Saccharomyces cerevisiae S288C: one gene and its partner. The protein of the gene in region 1 purifies or fractionates together with the protein of each later gene. This does not show direct contact. Each region holds a gene or a part of one and is shown on either strand. Other genes may lie near its edges.

Evidence for each region. Proteins that work in one complex are often made in the same cells at the same time.
Region 2: the proteins of SNP1 (region 1) and SNU71 purify together in Saccharomyces cerevisiae (affinity purification with mass spectrometry; 8 studies listed by BioGRID, with this or other methods). This does not show direct contact.

Annotation. Positions count from the first base shown.
Region 1 is NC_001141.2:244,005-247,143, forward strand, and holds SNP1 (U1 snRNP complex subunit SNP1), read right to left. Parts: upstream 1,556-3,139; coding exon 653-1,555; downstream 1-652. Other genes in the region: ARC15 (Arc15p), read right to left, coding at 1-458; YIL060W (uncharacterized protein), read left to right, coding at 2,388-2,822; YIL059C (uncharacterized protein), read right to left, coding at 2,546-2,911. UniProt on the Saccharomyces cerevisiae protein: Involved in nuclear mRNA splicing.
Region 2 is NC_001139.9:512,554-516,312, reverse strand, and holds the start of SNU71 (Snu71p), read right to left. Parts: upstream 1,760-3,759; coding exon 1-1,759. Other genes in the region: MCY1 (putative cysteine synthase), read right to left, coding at 1,973-3,154; nicotinamide-nucleotide adenylyltransferase NMA2, read right to left, coding at 3,581-3,759. UniProt on the Saccharomyces cerevisiae protein: Component of the U1 snRNP particle, which recognizes and binds the 5'-splice site of pre-mRNA. Together with other non-snRNP factors, U1 snRNP forms the spliceosomal commitment complex, that targets pre-mRNA to the splicing pathway.

The DNA of each region.
Region 1 (3,139 bases):
GTTCTTCTATCCGATATATAATGAACGATAGGTGTGACACCACTGACTTGAGTAATTCTTTCCAGCCACGCAAGCAAGACACCCCCTTGTTTCTGGCCCTGAGGTACGGACATTCCTTTGTAGAGATACTTTACCAGCACGTCCCTCTGAGAATCACTCAAATTTTTGATTACATTACCAATATCGGCTTGCCTGACTTGTGTCAATGCTTCAAGGACGCTCTTAAAATATTGCTCCTTTGTTGGAGCATCTGCACTGTATGGAGGATCGGTTGTGAGTAATTGAACGGCTCCCAAAGAGTCACCACTTGTGGCAAGCGAGCGCAATTGATTCATTCGAGGTTGTAATTCTTGTAATGTGACAGTAGTTTCGTATGGTGGTACCAGATCGGCAGCGGTTAGTCTGCCACTCTCTGGATCAAATGCATCGATGTCAATTCTCCTCCAATCGGCTTCCATTGCTTGATCGTTCGCGTGTGTTGTGTTGAGTCTTCTCTGGTCTCCTTTGCTATAGTATCTTGTGTTAAATGCGGGCTGTTTTTCTCTTATTTTGTTATAGGGGCAAAGTCTGAGAAAGGGAAAAAAGTATCCAAATTAACTGATGTGCGGGTAATCATAGACAACAAGTAGCAGAGTTTAAGTATTACTTATATTCAATAGTCGGGCGCTTCTTTGGGAGCTGGTTGAGACTCTCGAGTCCGTGAGTTTCTAGATTTATATACAGAAGTAACAGCAGCAGTAGGAGTGGCGGCGGAGAGCAATGGCCTGTTTCCACGGTACCTCGCGTCCAATGTGGAACTGCCGTATCTATCAGCGCTATATGCGGAGGAAGAAGTTTCCCTGCGTGGCAGCCTGGGAGCATAATTTCTTTCGGCGGGATTTGATGTACTTGCGCTTGCAAACCTTCCTGGAAGCCTGCTGTCTCTGTTGGAATAGCCTCTGCCTCCTAGGCCGCCGCCCAATCTTCTTGGCTTGAAATATTTAACGGTTCTGCCTCTTTCTATGTCGACTATGCAGATTCTGTCTTTGATTTGGATACCTCTGTGTACTCCAATCTCCTTGAATGCCATTTTACTACTTATTGGGTCTTTGAAAACTATGAAGGCGTAGCCTTTACTCTTCTGGGTTATCTTGTCCTTGACTATCCTAATTTTTTCGATCTCGCCAAACTTAACAAAATACTTTTGCAGTTCAATTTCGTCAAGATCGTATGGTAGCCTCCCAATAAATATCGTTCTGTAGGGATCTGTGTCCTTGATATGAGGGTCAACGTTAGGATTCCAATTTTGTAGTCTCCGGTCTAACAATTGAGCATTTTTGATCTTGGAAAGTTTGATGTCTTCGTATCTTTGGAGATGGTTGTTTGGAGATCCTTCAGGAAACTCCTCCATATAGTGCTTCAAAGAGGTTGATAGTAAGTTTGCAACGCCAGTGATATTTGGATTTGTTTGTCTCTTCGCATATGGGTAATCGGTTGGTCTTTTGTAAGATAAAGGTGGCCTTGGCTTGAAAAGTCTCGACACGTCGTCTGGATACTTGGATAGATTATAATTCATCAAGGTTGAGGTGCCGATTACTTTTTTAAGGTTTCCTTTCGACAGTCGATGACCGTGCTGTGTGTCATTATCTTGCAGTTCTTTTTTTCTTCAGATGCGTTAATTTCCTACGAAGGGCGCATACAATGGTGCTGATGGGATTTATGAGCAAAACAAGTAGGCGAGCAAGACATGAACGAAATTGTAATGAAGCGTACTTCCTTTTCCCTACAACCTTAAAAAGGTCTCACTGATATATCCATTCGCAATAATGACAAGATTTTTGCATGGGACTTCTTTTTTTCTTTTGAATAAGTCGCGTTATAAGGACAAAACATTAAAAAAAAATATGTATTGATTCACTGATTTATATATACAGAAGTAAGTACCGGGGTACCTAAATATACGCATAAAAGTCTCTTTCTTTTTTTTTTTTTTTTTTTTAGCTTCCTACATTTCGTTAATAATATTATATAGATTATATTTATATTTAAGAAAAGTAATATCAGCATATTATGAATAGACAAAAAAGTCTAAGGTCAAGATTTATTAAATGTTAGATTATTAAGATTACAATTAACAACATTTGTTGTTACTTCATAAAATTTCGTTACTTCATAAAAGAACTACAGTCCCCCACTTCTAAATGAGTGGTTGTAGGGGTTCATATACCTCCCATACTGTTGGAATAAAAATCAACTATCATCTACTAACTAGTATTTACGTTACTAGTATATTATCATATACGGTGTTAGAAGATGACGCAAATGATGAGAAATAGTCATCTAAATTAGTGGAAGCTGAAACGCAAGGATTGATAATGTAATAGGATCAATGAATATTAACATATAAAATGATGATAATAATATTTATAGAATTGTGTAGAATTGCAGATTCCCTTTTATGGATTCCTAAATCCTCGAGGAGAACTTCTAGTACATTCTACATACCTAATATTATTGCCTTATTAAAAATGGAATCCCAACAATTATCTCAAAATTCACCAACTCTTCACATACATACCTGCGGTAGCAAGATAGGTACACTTTTTCTACGTTTCACGAAGGTAGCGATAGGTACCTCACTCATTGTAGGTGCGGGGGTAGCGATGGAGGTTTCTGTACCATTACCACCACAGCCACTATACTCACGTAGTGAAGTCCCTAGCGTGGAATTGTGTGGTATCGTTGCTATCTGTCGTTCGCCACCCTCGGTATATCCAACGTGCAGGCCAATATCACTCTCTAAGAAAATCGTATCAGGATTGGTACGGACAAACTCTTCATAGCCTACGTCGAAATCAAATTCTGCTAAAGCTGTGACTGTAGTTAAACCTAAAACCGCGATTATTGCTTGAAAAACTGTGGAGAAATTCATGATGGACGGTCACGTTCAGGGTCTGAGAAAACCACTCATTCCTATGTCCCATGTGGTTGGTTGCAATTTGCTGCTATATATACGACTTGGCTGTAGAGAGATCTACGTAGGATGTGTCCACTATCAAGGGGGGTTTACCAACGTTATCTTCTATTTTAAGTGCTCAAATGAAGGTTGCATTATATCCCTGGCAGTTTTCCCGGCAATTTTGCCGGCCGCTTATAATAG
Region 2 (3,759 bases), on another chromosome or scaffold:
TCTGGTTCACGCGGATGTTCTCAAGAATGTATTCCACCAGCTCGTCCTCGTAGACGCCGAGGAATTCACGCACCAGTTCGTCCACGTAGCGCGATTCCTTCAGATTAGTTAGTCTTATGTTCAGTTCATCTGCTGTAAATGGCAAACGGTCCTCTGCCGCGCTTCTCTCGGAGGGTTTTGTTGGAGGTAGCTCGCTCTCTCTGTATCCCTCGTCTTCGCTAGAGCTTTCAACTGAGTGATCAATAGCCTTCTTAAAGTCGAATTTGATCTTGACGTGTTCTGAGCTCTCAGACACATTCTTGTCCGCGTTATAGTTCTCGCTCTTCACAGTGCCTTCAGGAAGGGTGATGGCGGCAGCCTTCCCTGCAGATATGGCCTTACCATCCGATAGTTGTATAGGCGCCAGTTCCTTTGCATTTCCATTTTTAGCTCTATCCTCTTCGTCCCTTCTTTCCTCTTGCTCCTTGAAAGATCTATGGTGGTCGTAATGAACGTCGTTGGCAAGGTGTAATAGCTCCTTCAAATATAATGAGCGATTTTTCTCCAAATGTTCCTCATAGTTTTCAGCACTCATGATATCAGCCCTAATGGATTTTATCTTAGGCTCTGTATTGGAATGTAATTGGTGTAACATATCCTCATATCTACGATTTGATTCTTCCAGGTCTCTTTCTTCTTTTCTCTTCTCTAAGGCAAGGTCGTCTTCAGTGTCATCCTCCTCATCTTCATCTTCCATATTAGTATCCTCCTCCTCTGTATTGGCGCTCCCTTTGGCTCCTGAGTGGTTTTTCCTTATTTGATCAAAAACTTTTTGCATTTGGTGTCTTTGACGCCTACTTTCCTCGTACGTACTTTTCATTTTTTTTTCTTTCTCTATACTGACAACTTTTGTCCTAAATTCTATTATATCCTTGCACAATTGGTCCAAAGCATCCGATGGCAAATCACTTAAAGTGTTTGTATCCACTTTGTATTGTGTGGAAGAGTCATCCAACTGTTCTTTCTTTGAATTTCTTTCGTCTGTTTGATCTTCAATGTTTTTGAAAACAGAATAAAATTCGCTAGCCTTTTCTGGCTTAACACTCGGTATAGTTCCTGTTCGGTCTTCGACATATTCTTTTGTGTTCAAATCCAAGTGTAACTCAATCTTGAAATCCTCATGTAGCTTTCTAATAAACGCGAATAAGGCTTTGCAGTAGTTCAGCGTATTAACAAATGCCTCATCTTCATCAACCTTACTGAATCTTATAAAAATGTCCTGGGTATCTAAAAACGAAGAAAAAGAAGACCAAGCTTCTACTTTCAATGCGGAATTGCTTTGAGTTTCAGTCAACGCTAAATTCAAACAGTGGTCTAGCAATGATTCTATCTGTCCGCGAGAAAATGATGAAGAGACACCTTGTAAAGATACTGTATGAATCTGTTGGTCTAAGGAAATGGGAAGAAATTGTTTGAGCTCTTGGTAACGGGAAGAGCTTGTGGCGCACTTGTTAGCACTATTGTTATCTGCTATTGAAGCCTCTTTGTCTTTATTCAAACCAGTATTCTGGTCAGAATTGTGTATACTCCCATCATCGTTGCTATTTAGCAGTGTCTCTGATAAGCTGTTTCTGGCGTCAACTATATGTTTTAATGAGTCCTGAAAACGTTGTAGATCATTTTTGAGGATAGGGATGAACCCACTTTTGGCAGAATCACTTTTCCAACCCTCCTGTGATGACAAATACAGCTGCGGTGATACAAATACAATATCCCTCATGTTCTGTAAATCGACGTACTCTTAAGGAACTTTTATGAGCTTGATTTTGGTCCTGGTCTGTTTTTGTTCTTGATCTATCTAATTACTTTTGCACTTTTTAGCGGGCATCATTACCACGGAAAGTAGCAAAAAATGTAGCAGCGAAAACTGCTTTTTTATATTTGTTCCTACAATTTAATAGAAGATAACTCAGTACTGATTTATACATCTATGTTAGATATTTATTACTTCTTCTAATGACACGTCGTGATCGATTTCTTTAGCTTCTTTCCAGAATTTACTTAGGTGTCTTGAACCGCTGTCGCATGCAATAATCACAATGTTTGAGCCGTGAGGAAGCGTTTTTGCAACCTGAATAGCGGCTACCGCATTAATAGCTGTACTACTCCCCACGAATAGCCCGTCGTTTACCGATAGGTATTTTGCCATTCTAATGGCTTGATTATCGTTGACTCGTATTGATTCATCAATAAACTTTTCGCCCATATGAAAATTATGAGTGATTCTGTTTAACCCAATCCCTTCTACGATAGTGTCAACTTGATGCCTTCTTCTAGTACCTTCCTTCTCTACATAGTCATACATCACGCCATAGTTGACTCTATTATAAAAGCCAGATCCTTGTGGATCCGCTAGAACGACATGGCAAGGTATCTTTGCTCTTTCCTTTAAGAATTTTGCCACACCAGTTATGGTGCCACCAGTACCGCAGCCAGCAATGAATGCGTCAATATTTCCCTTAGTTTGATGGGCAATTTCTGGGCCTGTGGTCTGGTAATGTACTTTCCAGTTGGCTTCGTTTTCGAACTGATCGGCAAAAACTGCTCTTATTCCATTACCACTCTTCTTTAGTTCATTACATGCCTTTTTGGCGGCATTTACGTATTGGTTTGGATCGACAATACTAGCGGGCTTAACCTTATTAACAGTAGCACCGAGGCTTTCTAGTAATGCCAATTTTTCTAGCGATGTGTCATCGGGCAAAGAAATGTGTGCCCTATAACCCAACGCATTACAGACCACTGCTATAGAGATACCAGTCGACCCACTTGTTCCTTCAAATACCCAGCCAGGTTCACCTCTGACGAGCTCGCCTAATTCCTCAGCCGTCTTTATGATGTTTAAAGCCACTCTATCCTTAGCACTTCCTGCTGGGTTGCATAACTCCAACTTAGCGTAAATGTTAACTCCAGTAGCCTTGGTAAGAGATCTGATCTTAACCAGAGGAGTGTTTCCTATGAGTTCTTCAACGCCTTCTTTTGGACGTGGAATATCGCGTGTTTTGAACAGCTTATAGTATTTGTATGATGCATACGCGCCAATTAGGACGGAAGCGATGGATATGCATTCACGCCAGGCCAGACTGACAGAAGTCTTATTTTGAGAACAGGACATAAAGGATGTTTTGGTATATTCCGATTGATAGGGCTATTATGCAGTATTATACGGCATTGTTACTTCAAATATTACAAGACTTTTAAGTTACTATAGACGTGCAAAATTCAATATAGATCATTACCCGCATTAATAGTAACGCGAGTAGATCAAGTATCTTCGGATTCTGTATTTTATAAGCTAATTTTGCTGATTTACGTATACGATTCACTGGAATGTTTGTCTGAAAGGTTTTCCTTATGAAACTTACCGCTGGTGTGGTTATATTATAATTATTAAGTGTTAAAATAAATGTTTGACATTGTTCACATGATTGTTGCTCTGCTGTAAACATTTTAAATCGTGCATCCAGGAACTTTTTTTCTATGCACCTTGAAGAGGAAAGTGGTAAATTTGAACTGCTGCAGTATCAGAGTTGTAATAAACTCACTCTTTGCTATCCAAGACCTGCTTGACCGGTTCACTTTGATTAATGTATAGATTATACTCTTGGATGTAACGGATGACAGAGTTTGGAAGAAGATATTGAACTGACATTCCACGTCTGATGAAAAGCCGCACTTTCGTAGAGGAAATATCATTGTAAATAAGTTGTTTGATAATAA